2 linked regions of the Lytechinus pictus genome follow. The protein of the gene in region 2 binds, or shares a complex with, the protein of the main gene of each other region. Links are inferred from orthologs where the notes say so. Each region holds a gene or a part of one and is shown on either strand. Other genes may lie near its edges.

What was found. The genes of interacting proteins can lie anywhere in the genome.
Region 1: the proteins of medium-chain specific acyl-CoA dehydrogenase, mitochondrial-like (region 2) and electron transfer flavoprotein subunit alpha, mitochondrial-like are in contact, whole or in part, in a crystal structure (PDB 2A1T), measured with the Homo sapiens proteins. The link is inferred for Lytechinus pictus from reciprocal best matches to the Homo sapiens genes ACADM and ETFA. Residues at the interface, in NP_000007.1 of Homo sapiens: Pro163, Lys173, Pro211, Gln232, Arg235, Glu237, Val251, Glu253; in NP_000117.1 of Homo sapiens: Arg223, Lys226, Arg249, Asp253, Ala283, Ile284, Gln285, Glu304.

What each region holds. Positions count from the first base shown.
Region 1 is NC_087254.1:12,844,463-12,851,878, forward strand, and holds the start of electron transfer flavoprotein subunit alpha, mitochondrial-like, read right to left. Parts: upstream 3,033-7,416; 5' UTR 2,911-3,032; coding exon 2,866-2,910; intron 884-2,865; coding exon 734-883; intron 1-733. UniProt on the Homo sapiens protein: Heterodimeric electron transfer flavoprotein that accepts electrons from several mitochondrial dehydrogenases, including acyl-CoA dehydrogenases, glutaryl-CoA and sarcosine dehydrogenase.
Region 2 is NC_087259.1:22,186,316-22,193,975, forward strand, and holds the start of medium-chain specific acyl-CoA dehydrogenase, mitochondrial-like, read left to right. Parts: upstream 1-4,606; 5' UTR 4,607-4,735; coding exon 4,736-4,768; intron 4,769-7,660. UniProt on the Homo sapiens protein: Medium-chain specific acyl-CoA dehydrogenase is one of the acyl-CoA dehydrogenases that catalyze the first step of mitochondrial fatty acid beta-oxidation, an aerobic process breaking down fatty acids into acetyl-CoA and allowing the production of energy from fats.

The DNA.
Region 1 (7,416 bases), on a different chromosome or scaffold from region 2:
ACAGATGGGGGCGGGGATTGGGGGCCCCCAAGTGTTTCACGGCCAAGAAAACAGGAGAAAAGAGGAGAAAAGGAAAGAAAAGGGAAATATTGTATTATCTTAATATTATGTCAAAATATAGATTTTTGTATTGAAAAGTTCAATATTTTTGCTTCAGCTGCCATATCTAGCCCCTCATTTTTTTTTACTCATTACGCCACTTGCTTCAGCCAATAGATCTGGTGCAGAACAGTCTGAACTAGTGGTATCATTGGTATGTTGTGAAAAAGTCACTGGTCATTTTTCTTTTAATATTGTGTAGTTTGTTGGCATTTGTATTTCTTCTTTTGATATTAATTAGAGCCCCTCTGGGCAATTTAAAAGGCCTCATATTCCAAAACTTCTTGGGGCTCTGCCCCCTCGACCCCCACGCCACCAGGGGCCTCTGGGCCCCCCATCCGGTGATAAATTGCTGGTTTGCGTAATGGATAGTGGAGCATTACAGATTCTCAACAAGAAATGTGGCGCTTCCAAAAAAGTACTTGAGATAGCTGCCTTATGTTATATGAAAAAAAAAGAATAGTAATAAAATTTGAGAAAAATTCTCTATTTGTGCGAGTTCATTGACCTTATTACGTAAAAGATAGTAAGGAGGAAAGGTGGGGGGGGGGGAGTTTGACATAGTCTTCAGTCTAGACATGGTATAATTGGTTTGAGTTTCAAATATGAGTCTGAACTTGCAGACTACCCTTACCTTAGCGCACTGGGTACCAGCAACAAGACAGGAAATCTCTCCCCCGACCTTCTTGGCAGCCGAGATGGCGTTGAGGGTTATGGGTACAAGACTCTCATTGTTGTGCTCTGCCACTATCAAGGTACTATTGTGTCTCTGCAGATAGGACAACTGAAAACAAAAACAAAAAGACAAAAAATTGTTTCATGGGATATCAGGTTGGGGATGCATGATGCATTATGCGGTCTAGTGATGAAAGGAATCTTTCTTGATAAATGAGGAAAATGTGCTATTGTTTTATTGTTACTTGCTTTTGAAACACTGTATTTCAGAAATTGGGGGCTATGTATGTGACTCCAGTCATGTACATGATTCCAATTCCTTAGTTTATCATCATCCAGAACAATCATACAGGAAATATCTCAAATCACGAACAAAAGTCAACTTACAAATAAAAAGAAATATCAGTTGCTTCCGTTAGTAATGAGATGGCAGCATAAATGCATCTTACATGTAGACCATGTGATGCAGAATAAATATTACCACTAGACAAGTCTATGATATACATGTATTAATATGTTACACTTTAGTCTAACGTTTTAAAATTAATATTGTTGATATCTTGGGAACATAGTTGCCACTTTTTTTACTCTAGAGGTAGAATCACGATTTGAAACATGTTTCTGCAGAATCATGGTTACGTTTTGAGGTAAACATGTTCTAAGACAAACATGAAAAGTGGGTTCATATGACAAATGTTTCTGTAGAATCAAGTTCAGAAAAGTTTGATTAAACATAAAGGTGACCTGAATCACGAATAGGGGCGAGTCAAAATGTTTAAAATGCAGACCAAATGACTATTAAAACACATTTTCCTATTTTGACAACCATTTGACTGTATAAAGCACAAAAAAACTTCCCTAAAATAGCTGAAATTTCACACTTCACATCTTTTTATCCAAGAAATGGTCCTGTACAATGCATTTTCCAAATTTCCCTGAAATTATATAGATTCAGACTAACAAGTTAGTTGGAAACTATCAAGAAAATGAAGATTTTCCCCCCTTTTCCTTAACCCTTATTAAACTGGGGGAGAGGGTCAATTAAACCCCCCCTCGACAAATTTTGCAGCTACGCCGCCATGCAATTTTTTTTACCGCCCAGCTCACTGACTTTTTACTTTCAAGTCTTGCACATCTTTTGAGACCAAATTTGTGACGCCCGGTTACGCAGTTCCGAAATGACGCAATATTTCCAACTACAAATTTAGTTTCAAATGAAAGCTACATGTAGAACATTCTTCTTAAATAGATTCTACTGTTAATTGATTGAAAAATAAGTTTAGCAATGTCCTTGACATGTAAAAATGGAAAACAAGGAAAAAATATTGAACAAGAAATAGAAAAATTATCACAATTTTTCACTTTTCACAATAATTCTTCCAGATTGACACATATTTTCTTCACAGTAATTCTTAATTTCAATGTTCTTCAATTGTGGAAATAAATTCAAATTGATTTTAATTGTGCAAAAAACAGAATAGAGTCTAGAATTTAGAAAGTCTATACCCTATGTGCTAGTGCTTTCAAATATTTTTTAGGATGAAAATGAAATATGATTAGTTGCCGATCTTTAAGGTAAAATGACATTGTACTACTACTAGGTTTAAGACATTAATTTCAGACCAACAATATGTGAAGAATCTTAGAAGCATTATAAGATGGTCTAATATGTTATCATAATATCTTTTAAATTGTTTTACACCTAAATCGGATGAATTGTGGCACCACCCTTTTTTGGTGGGCGTGGATGACAATGCACACAAGTCACAACCGATGTTTGCGTTTGCCACTCTTAGTGGAATAGTATCGTCTGGAATAAAAAGAAAAGTCATGCTTAATTAAATTTGTAGGAGCATAGAAAAGGACCCCCCCCCGGCTTCCTCCCCCCCCCCCCCCTTCATCATTAAAGTTGTGCTGAAACTGTAGGAGCTTGAACGAGACCTACGATACATCGACTGCGGGCCGTGGCTGCCCCGATCGACTGGCGTGGCCGTGTGCATTCGCACTGCGTAAACACAATATCAAGACAATAGACCTAAAAGCTTCGCTCATTATTTTGTGGAAATGAACTTTAAAAAAGAAATTTCATACCGTCTGTCCAATCCTCCTTGCTGGTCTACTAACGAGTCCGAACATTTTTTAAAGGTGATTTAATCAAATAACAGAACAAGAAATGTGCCGGTATAACGCTAACGTTAGAGGTGAAATGTTGTGTAAGATAAATGTCGACCTCTTTCGATGAGAAAATGCCAATGTATAAAAATTACAAAACGTCGTGGGGGGGGGGGCTGGGATCGAGGACGAGGATATTGATTTGATAGTAATTGATTATTTGCCCAACTCTTTACAGGCAGGGTCAAGATTTTTAAGGGGGACCAGACGACCTAAATTAAAAGACACGTCATGGCGGTTTTTTTTATAGCACTTACAGATTTACCGAAACTATTAACTATTTATTTTTATATTTTGTTCATGTTTTAGTAGTGTTTTTTACATGAGACGAAAAGTCATCGGGAGAGTCAGCAAATCTATTAATACTAGTCAGTAGGAGTCTAAAACTAAAAAAGAAAAAAGTCATTTTCAGTAGAGACACATTTACAGCCTGTCTCTACTGAAAATGACTTTTTTCTTTTGCTTTCCAGATGAATTAATGATAGCAAATTACTTCCAGAAATGGCAAGTTTCCTTTTAAAATGTTAGTTGTCGGAAATTGTTTACTTTAATTCAATTCTATATTTCATCTCCACTCAAACATAAAACAAAGTAATATAAATCAGGGCCCCGTCTTACAAAGAGTTGTGATTGAGCGATCATATGGCCAACAACGTCAACATCTAAAATGCATGCTTATTCATATCATTTTCTAGATATGATGAATATTCATACATCCATCGTTGTCTTGAAAATTCGGTGCATAATGTGATTCTCTTTGTTTACTAAGGATATCGTGCAAATTTCTTGTAGAAAAAATTTATGGCATGAGTATGGATTTCCATAAAGTTGAGATTGATTGGATCAATCGCAACTCTTTGTAATACGGGGCCCAGGTATTCCTGTAAATAGGACTAGTTTCCTTTTTTTTGTGCCTTCCATTAGGATTGTGGTCGATTACAAACACTGAGTCATTTCTTAATTCTTCAGTCTGTGCAGGGATTTAGACAAGATTGACAATGCTGTTTAAGCATGGGCGTCAATCCAAACTTGAGAATGAGGGGGACACAATAGCAACATGCAAGCATGTCACTTTTATAGGTATACTTTCCAGATCCATTACACTTTCGTCATACTCCACCGCTACATGTACCGTATGTCACAGGGGCGGATCCAGCCTTCGCCAATAGGGGGGGGGGGGGGGCCGGAATTTTTTTCACCCACATTTTCCCCGATCGGCCGCTCGAAGTTAATTTTTGTTTGTTTCTTTGAAGGGGTAATATATTTATATATAATATCATAAGCCTTATTTAAAAAGTGCGAGCTTTTTGTTTATTTTATGTATTTTGTTTTAAAATTCAAACATTTTGGGCAATGTTTATGATCCTAAACGAGATGTGTATTTAACTAAATAATTGCTGCGAGCGCGAAGCGCGAGCAGAAATTTTTAATATACGTTTTCATCTGATAAAAAAGGATCTGTTACCGGCAGCTTGTTAGCTATGAAGACGTTACATATTTCGACTATCAAATAATGTGAAGCGCGAGCTGAAAATTTTGACATTTTTACCGGAAGAATGAAAAAGGTTAAGTATATAGCTAAATAATTAATGCGAGCGCGAAGCGCGAGCTGAAAAATTCGAGATTCAAACCTAAAAATTGGACACTCTATTCATATTTTGTAAATCATGAAAATGATGAGTAATTGGAAATCGGTTTCCTACATAAATAATGCGAGCACAGAGCACGAGCACAAATTGTTTTATTTATTTTTGACATACGCTTTGGTCTGATCAGTTAACGGCTGCGTGTTAGCCATGATGACGTTACATATTTTAACTACCAAATAATGCGAGCGCGAAGCGCGAGCGGAAAAATTCTGGACACTCTATTCATGATTTGTAAATCATGAAAATGAGTAATTGGAAATTTTCCTACATTAATAATGCGAGCGCAAAGCGCGAGCAGACAATTTTTTATATTGTGATCTGAAACTGGATAATGATTTAAATAGAGAACAAGCTGCGTATCTAAATAAACGCGTGTTTCAGATTTCGACCTAGAACATGTAGAATTAGGGTAATTTAAATACATTTCTTATCATGAAAATCAAGAAAGCGAGCACAAAGCGCGAGCTAAAAATATATGATATTCCGCTCTGAAAAGGGTCAATTTAAGCTCTGTTTTTCAAGCACTTTGTGGGAAATTGTGAGGTGGATATGGATCACAGTTAAAAAGAGCTGATAAGTTTCATTATTATTACTTTGAGTTTTGACATAGCGGACCGGGACATTATGTCATCATATGAAAATGATGACTATCTTCCTATTTCTCTTCCTAAGCATGAGAGCGCGAAATCTCTTAATATTATGGCCTGAAAACTGGACATTTAAAGCACTTTTGTAATTATGAATAAGATGCATGAGTTGATATATTTCAACAATCAATGCGAGCGGAAATCGCGAACCGAAATTTCTGATAAACTGCATGTGATCAAATGGGGATTTTAAGTAGTTTGTTTTAGAATTAATATTGAGATAAACATAACTCACCAATCAAAATGCGAGCATGCAGCGCTAGCTGATACGTTTTCACAATCTGACCTGAATAGGGATATTTTGATAACTTTATGGAATACAGGAAAATAATAGGTACCTGACAAATCAAATTTTGCGAGCGCGCAGCGCAAGCAGAAAATGTTAATATTCAGACCATAAAATAATAATTCTTACAGAACACTTTTTAAACATCAAATTTGCAAATAAAAAAAAATAATGAAAGTTAAATTTTCGAGCTGAAATATGTTTTGTGTATTGACTTCAAGATTCATATTGAGCAAGATATGTAAATCACCTAAAAGGCGATGCGAGCGCAAAGCGCGAGCAAAAATTTTATATCCCGGCATGAAAGATTTTTTATTATTACTTTCCAAGTCTTCCCCTTATCTTATTCACTCGTCTTCCTCCTTTTATGTTTCCCTTTTTTTTCTCCTCTCTTTTCCCTTCTTCTTCTCTTTTTTTTTCTTTCTTTCCCTTTGTTTTTCTTTTTTTTTGCTCCTCCAATAGGGGGGGGGGCACTAGCGTACCTACGGGGGGGGGCAGGGGGGCACTCTGCCCCCCCCTGACGAGTCACAACCCATGCAAAAACGTATCTTTGCCCCCCTTGACGGGCTTGAAAAACCCTTTTTGCCCCCCCCCCCCTGACGAGCTTTAAGACCTTTAATGCCCCCCTGACGAGCTTGAAGACCTTTTTTTTTTTTTTTTTGCTTGTCAATTTTTTTCTGGTACGAAATCCTTTATTTGTGATCGAAGACCTTTTTTTTTTTTTTTTTTTTTTTTTTTTGCTTGTCAATTTTTTGCCGGACGGTTTTGCCCCCCCCTGTGGAAAATCCTAGGTACGCCACTGGGGGGGGGGGGGCGGCCCCCTGGATCCGCCTATGCTGTCATGCCGTGCATACCCACATGAAAAAAACCCACCACGCACGTGCGGGTCTCCATGTGGGTGCTCGCGTGTACCCCGGCGTCGTACGTACAGGAACGGCTCATAGACGGCTATAGCTGCGCTGCTTTTGAATGCGAATTTACCCACCGTTAATTGCATCGAAAAGTTACATGACAGTTGTTTTTTTTCTTTATATTTTTAAAGGGGAATCAACTCTCATTTCCTTGAGAAGGTATGCACATATTCCCCCCCCCCAGATGGTCACACTTCTTTTATGACAAAAACATGGGGGGGACATTTGATATTGTGTCCCCCCCCCTGAAAAAATCATGGGGGGGACACCCCCCCCCCCGTCCCCCACCGATTGACGCCCGTGTGTTTAAGCAAAGATTTACATAAGGTTAAATAAGCTAGTTCAGTTCTGGACGCAGGATCTTCTGTTCCTCTATGTCCAGCTCCTGGAGATAAACCTGACGTCTGAAGAATTGGCGCGGTCCGTGGGAGGAACCTCATAATCAAATTTGCATTTACGCCACCAAAAATCAATCCTCTTTTCAAATTGTAATACATCCTTAGATTCTTCTACAAGCCCATGAAGACTATTCCATAAGTTGCTGATTCTAAATGTAAAGAAGTTCTTACGTGTATTCTTATTAGCTCTAATCTTGAAAATATTTAGAAAATTCCTGCTTGAACATGATAGAACAAATTACAAAGATGATATCTTATGCTAAATGTACATGATTTGATATATAATCAGCTTTAACATCTATATCGAGGATGCTCGGATTTCTCAGAAAATATGGTTTATTTTCAGTTGTTTATTTTCTGGTATTTCCATTATATGATCGATTACAAACAAATTATTACAAATTTATCTGTGGACATGATCAAATTATCAAAATGCTAAATCTACATGGTTTGAGTTAAAAAAAATTAAGTCATATGCGTAGCCTTATGAGGCAAAATTGAGAGGGGTGTAGTTATGGTTGTCCTATTTCTCCATTTTTTTTTAATCGAGCGACTTTTGAGAGAACAAAATAAAAAGAT
Region 2 (7,660 bases):
TTGTATTTTATTATATGAGATATGAAATATTATAATTTTCTCCTCGTTTTCAAGTGAAACAGTGATTAATTCATCCCTAAACATGTGGGATTAGCATTGTTTAATACTATATGGTTCAGTCAAGTCGGCCGGGTCCCTATGTTCAAATCTGTAAAAAATGAAATATTGTATAATTCAAACAATGAAAAAACAAAAGAAATAGTGAGTGACGGATATCATCGACTGACTAATTTGCATGTCACTGAGTTGTGCATATCACTGTTTTGTGAAAAATAAGCGGAAATTTCAAAAATATTGTTTAAGAAAAGTAATTTTATTTATCTCCTCTAAAACTCTAAACTTTAAATTGTTGATTGCAGATCCAATGGGACCAAGTTCTTAGCAGTTCACACCCAGTCAGAAGTACAAAATTGAGAACCATGCAGATCAGCAAGTGTGAGTTACAATCTATAAATTAGGAACAGGATTTCTGAATGGAAAAATTGCAAGGTATGCTTGCTGTTTTGATAATATACAGGCTGTATAAGCTCATCACCCCCCCCCCCCAAAAAAAAAAACAAACAAATAACTAAATATTCCACCTTTTTTTTTTTGGGGGGGGGGGCTATGGCCAATTGTGCTGAAACATGATATCATGTAATGTTAAAGTTCCATTGTGAGTTATATTTGTTTGAATTCAGATTCACCAGTACTTATCCATATGCCTCCTGTCTATATACATACATGTGCATAAAAACAAGATATTAACAAAATTCTGAAAAATATTTGAATTAATTTGCACTCTTTATTATCAAAACATACTATAAATAATTATATTGATCTATGAATTTATCTGGATGTAGGACAAAAGTGACTGCATGTGCTAAACTTGTTATTTCACTGAAGAGTATAAAATAGAGTTTACATCTTTTTAATAAACTGGACTAGATGAGTAAGAATGATTTACAGCTTATTTTGTTCTTTTCTCTATTTTTTACCATGCAGGTTTCCCACTTCCCAAGCTGTTTAAGTACTGGTATCACAAAAAGTGCCAAGAAGAAATATGAAGGTCAAGTTAATAAAAAGTAGTTACTTCATTGCAATAACACATTAAAATGAATTTAATTTGAAATAACTATATTGATAAATCATTGAACGTTACGGTACTTAAACTACACATCTGTAGAAAAGAGTGCAGTACAGTTCAGGTTCATCACAGGGGCTGCTGAACGGTTTTCAAAGTGGGGGGGGGGGGGGGGGCTGACCACGCAAAAAATCACAATCGTATGGTCATTTTTACGTTTTGTACATGGTTTTGGAAAAAAAAGTGGGGGGGAGGGGGGCTGAAGCCCCCCCCCCCCCGCCTTCCGCGGCCCCTGCATCACCGGGCAAAGACATTTAAGTATACAAGTTTTGGTACAAAATTTCACACAAAATACAAGTAAGAAATATATTTCCAACGGGCAAATGTATCACCTTTTATTTATATTTTATACTTTTACTAGTTCTTAGTAGTTTTGATGAAAATAAATATTATTTTCTAGTCTAAAGGCCTATTCAATATCAGAATATGTCTTCCTTAAGTGACATACTTAGGGTTGTAAATAAGACAAAAAATATTGTATTTTGAAATAAAAATCATTCATAGCTAAATGATAATAAAGGTGATCAGAAGATTAAGAAATAATGTCAGTATCACTCCTGGAACTCATTTCATAAACGAGTTATTACTATTGTAATATTGTCATTATGAAAATTATCATTGTAACAGGGCTGAGCAAATTAAGGTTTTAATGTTAGCTGCAACAGGCTGGGGGCAAAGTTACCATGATTACAAGTCTTCATAAAGCTTGAATGATTATTTAGGGTTATTAAGTTACATTTATTCTTATCTTACTATTAAAAAAAATTGAAATGGGTTACCACTGCAAAAATATATGAATATACTATACTTTAAAAATAGATTGAATTCTAACCACAGTGACAGTAGACAAAATCAAATTTTGTGAACGATTGGCTAATGTATTGATTCGGGAAGGCACCCTTTAGGTAGATTCTGGCATTGTGCCCCCCCCCCTTTATGAGGAGTGCTCTCACATCAGTAGACTATTTCTTGTCAGCAAATTTGAAAGGAATTTACCAAATTCGTTTAGTGACAAACTTTTTTGGAAAAAAAATAAACGAATATCAAAGATTTTCATGCTCTTTTATGAAATCTTGGATACATCCCTGATATTAACTATAGGCTCATCGTAATCCTTTGAATGAAATATTGTAACAAACATTGTACAATTTAGAAAAATGTACCCAAAATTTACCCACCCCATACTACCCCCACCCAGTAACAGCCTTTTTTTAGCTATGCATTGCCTTCATTCTTTAAAATTCAATTTAATGCTTGATAGACTCTAATTATTATTGTTATGTTAATGTCAATGTTTAGAAAATAGATTCCTTATAATAAACATGTTAATTTTTTGAATTAAATTTTTTGATCTTGGTAATTTTCATTTATCAATTATTTGTGATAATATATTGCTGCCAAAATCTGTTATGCTCAAATGGTATAAGATGTTGCACTCTGTACTGAAATGTGATGATGCTACTGTTACATCATGATATCAAACAGCAGTCAATTAAAATATTATTCAAGAGAAATAAGGATAATAGTGGGAAATAGATTAAAATGACAGGAGAATTGTTTGCTTGTATGCATATAGTTGTGTGTGTCAGTTTCTGAGAGAGACAGACAGACAGAAAGAGAGAGAGGAAGGGGCAGGAGAGGGGGGGGGGGGGGGGGTCGGGATCAAAATCCAGTTGAAACCAATTAGAGCAAAACCAATTGAAACCAGTTGGCCAATTGGTTTCAATAGGGAAATTGGAACAACTGGAACCAATTGAAACCAGTTGCCAACTGGTTCCACTTAAAACCAATTGGGCAACTGGAACCAATTGGCAATTGGTTCCAGTTGAAACCAATTAAGCAACCATTTGGCAACTGGTTTCAATTGGTTCCAGTTGTTCCAATTTCCCTATTAAAACCAGTTGAATCCAATTGGAAGCAACTGGTTTTAACTTGAAACCAATTGGAGGCTACTGGTTTCAACTGGAACCAGTTGGAACTTCCATTTGGAATGACCTAATTAGTTACAAATTAATTAGAATTTGCGCTAACTATTGCTCATGCCAACAAAGAAGCAGTGCTATAATATGTCTATTAATACCAATGTAAAGGGCATTGATAAAATAGACTTTCATAATGTATATTTATTTATAAAAGATCTTCAAATATATGTATTTGTATTTGATGTAATTTGGTAACAGTTAGTGGTGTACTAACTATCTTATAATCTGTTTTAATTATAATCTATAACATTTATGAACATGGTTTTCACTGCTAAGCATTGTAAACACTTATCTGAAACAAGTTTGGTACTTGAAATAGAAAATAATTAAATAGATACATTTTAAATGATGATGAATCACATAAAACATTAATCTGTGCACACTGGCAGATAATATGCAAATTAACTGGTTTCAATTGGAATCAGTTGGGTAACTGGAAAATTTCCAATTGGAAACCAATTGGAAGTCATTTCCAGTTACCCAACTGGATCCAGTTATGATTTCCAGTTACCCAACGGGTTCCAATTAGAATTAATATCCAGTTAGAAGTCATTTCCAGTTACCCAATTGGTTCCAGTTAGGATTTCCAGTCACCCAACTGGTTCCAGTTAGGATTTCCAGTTACCCAACTGGTTCCAGTTAGGATTTCCAGTAGTACCCAACTGGTTCCAGTTAGGATTTCCAGTTACCCAACTGGTTCCAGTTAGAAATCATTTCCAGTTGGAAGTCATTTCCAGTTACCCAACTGGTTCCAGTAAGGATTTCCAGTTGCCCAACGGGTTCCAGTTAGGATTTCCAGTTGCCCAACTGGTTCCAGTTAGGATTTCCAGTTACCCAACTGGTTCCAGTTAGGATTTCCAGTTACCCAACTGGTTCCAGTTAGAAATCATTTCCAGTTGGAAGTCATTTCCAGTTACCCAACTGGTTCCAGTAAGGATTTCCAGTTGCCCAACTGGTTTCAATTGTTTTCAACTGGAAATTGTTATATTCCAGTTAAAACCAATTTAAACCAGTTAAAACCAAACCAGTTGGAAATCCAACTGGTTTCAATTGGATTTTGGTCCGGGGGGGGGGGGGGGGGGGCTATTAGTGAAAAATCTGTTTGTTATGAAAGAACCAGTTATAAGACCTTAGTGTTCATGACGGGTAAGGGGGCGGGGGGACTAATTATTTCTCCAAAATTTTGAAACCTGCATATAAAATGTATTTTTTCTTTCATTTTCCATTTCATGTATTTATTCAAAATTCTCATTAAAAACATACAAATCAAAGAATACACTATATACAAATATAGATACAAAAATAGAAATAAATTTAACAAGAAAATAAATGAGAATAGGAGGGAGCCAGCATAGGCAAATGGCCTTTCTAAGACTGGGCTCCCGAGACCATAATATAATCATAATAATCATAGAAGAGAGAAAGAGAATGTGGATGATAAGGCAATTACAACTTATTTCAATGTTAAGAGCGCCATCTATCGGTAGTATCCGCATGCTGTACTGTGTGTATATTACGTAAATGTTTACATCAGCTTCCGAGAGCCAGAGTTAGAGAGCCGGATCCGACGTTCTGAATCTGTCCTTTTAGTTCGAACTTAAGCCCTGTAGGAAGAACACAATCGATTAGTATGGCGCTTCGGTTACTTTCTAGACAATTTCGTGTAAGTGTTTTCATTTTAAACACATTCATTGACCGATCAGAGGCCGTACCCTTACGCCCGTAACTTGAAATTGGAAAGTGAACGAGAGTCGAGTGTGCTCGAGCCGGGAGCGCTCCCGAGAGCTGGGTTTGACTTTGGGTAGCCTTGACATTGTGCGACAGATAGCCTCAGTGTCTTTGACGTGACTTTGACAATCGCTGATTTCGTAGATAACGCTAATAAAAGTTCGAAAAATGTAGCCATCTGGAAATAAATCAATGCCCATATGGATATTCTCTTCACTTGAAAGAAAAATCACTCGTGTCTCAAGTTAGACAGCTGGCAGCCGTCTGTTTCGAGGTGTTTTTTTTAGCATTTAAATTTTTATTTATTTTAATTTTAAACCCCCGACGGCGACGTGGCTCTTCGGTTTTATCATTTTTCATAAAAGTATTTAAAAAGAACTGGACCAAGATAAAGCTAGTTAGTATTGTTTTGGCCTTACATGCACCTAAATGCATGAAATGGGAAAAAATAAATTTAAAAGGAAAAAACAGTGACTTCATGGCTGTCATGCAACTACCTACCAGTACCACTTCCCTGTTTTATCCGAACTTATGTACCAGTCACAATTCTTTGTTTTCAACCAGAGAAAACTAGATTCAGTCCACTGAATCTATTGTTCTTTGGCTGAAACATGTAATAGTGAGTCAAAGAATTGTGACTGGTAGTGTACGGCCATTGAGTCCCTGTACAGATCAAGTTAGAACTTAGGTCTCTGTGAGTGGAGCCAACAAAACAAGAGTTCAGCGGAACAACCAATATTATAGAGACCGAAGCTTTTGGTCTGGTCTCAAGTGTATTGCTGCTAATTGAGTTGTAGACTGTTAAAGCATTCTGTTTGTTCCAATTCAATCCAAGTTCTTTTTTGTCTCGCCCAAACAAAGTTCAGCGGAGACCTACTGTAACTTGTTAAAGTTAGTAATCACCTTTCCTGTTTGTGTAAAAAAATTGTTTTATAAGTAAAAAAAAGGGGAAATTTTGTTTAATGATCTCTCAATTGTTTTTTAAGTCAATACTGAAGAAAACACTTATATCTGGTTCTTGGAATGATTGGTTTTGCCTGCCCTTGTTTCAGGGTAGGATGATCAGTTGACGATTAATAACTTTTCATTTATTTTCATATATATATTGCCCAATTTTTGTATTTCTTTAGTTGGTTTTTTTTATTCAGTGTACTTTTTATGTTTAAAAGATTTGTTTTCCTAGTCTTTTTTTCAGTACCCCCCCGCCCCCGATATATTATGTCTTTGTGTTTCTATGGTGCACTTGTTATGCTGTGCTTTAGAGTAATTACTTCCATTATTATGTCCTTATGTAAATAGATTATAGATAAATTATACATGTTATTGAATTGAACTAGCTGGATTACAAAAATGTATTTTAAAGTTTTTGTTCAATTTACTCTCATTTTTTGAATTTCTGCATCACACTTTGTACAAATGACATATTGGGTAATTCCACATGTGTGTTCATGAGGATGATAGGGTAAAAGGTCATCTATGGGTCAAAAAGTCGGATGATATGAGGCCATGTGCATCATTTTTCTTTAAAGTTTTTTTGTTGCTCAAATTGCTTCCTTTTTTATGTCTGAATAGATTGTGTTCATTCTTGTTACAAAATAAATCCTTGGGTAATGCCATATGTGCAGCGGCGTAACAGGGGTCGGTGGCCAGGGGGGGCAAGAGCCAAAAATTTCCCGGTCATATCATGGAACAGGCAATGGCGTCATAAGGCAAAAATTTTGAGGGGGCGATATGGTGTATCGGGCAAATATATATATATATATAATTGTGATGAGCAAGGACCTAAACATTGCGTGGGTGCTTCAGTGAGTAATATATTGGCGAAGAAGCTCAAAAAGCATTGAAGCTAGAGACGTAGCCTGTATTTCTTCAACTTTTATTAGTAGTTTTAGTACAAGCTTTCGGCCATTTAGTTGGGCCTTCTTCAGGTATCTGAAGATGTAAAAGACATGATGGCTTAACAATTACCATGCATATATTTGGATTAATTTACTAAATATAGGTATATCTTAAAAGAAAATGTTTTACATCGGTAATGTTTAATTAGGATTATCCAATAGCTATTCAAATCAAGTAAGTTTACGCAGATTTTTATTACAAACATTTTTTTGAAAGTTATGTGTAATGAGTGTGATTACTTACATACATAAGTTCACGTGCTTAGACGCGAATGTATATGAATCAATACCTTTCCTTAATATGTACTCAATATATATTATACAGTACATACACCACAATATGTCTATATACTGTCATAAAATATTTGTAATAAAAATCTGTGCAAACTTAATCTATTTTAATAGCTTTTGGATAATCTTAATTAAGCATTACCAATGCAATACAACTTCTTTTGAGATATATACTATTTTGAGATATATGTATTATTATACATTTTGGGATATATATTACACCGCACACATAACTTTAAAAAAAAATTAAGTAGCTTAATATAGGTCCCGAGCGAGATAAAAAAAATCACTTTTTCATGAGAATCTAACATGAAGATAGATTTTAGCGTGATATTCAGAAAAATGTAATACACTTTCCTTTCTTTCCTCATATTTTTTGTTTGGTTGTAGAACTTTTGGGGGCCATGGTCCAAACTCATCCATATAACAGTGCTTTCTGGGTGGGGTCCAGGGCAGAGCCCCGGAACCTCTTGATATCAAAGCCATTTTAAACCTTACAGATGGCCACTTATTTTAATATATATTTTATATATATTTATATAGCTTTAACACAACACATAAATTTAATGCAGTTGTGTATCGTAATCATCCAAATATTGTGAGGGCACACCATAGCAAATGTGGGAAAATTTGTAAAA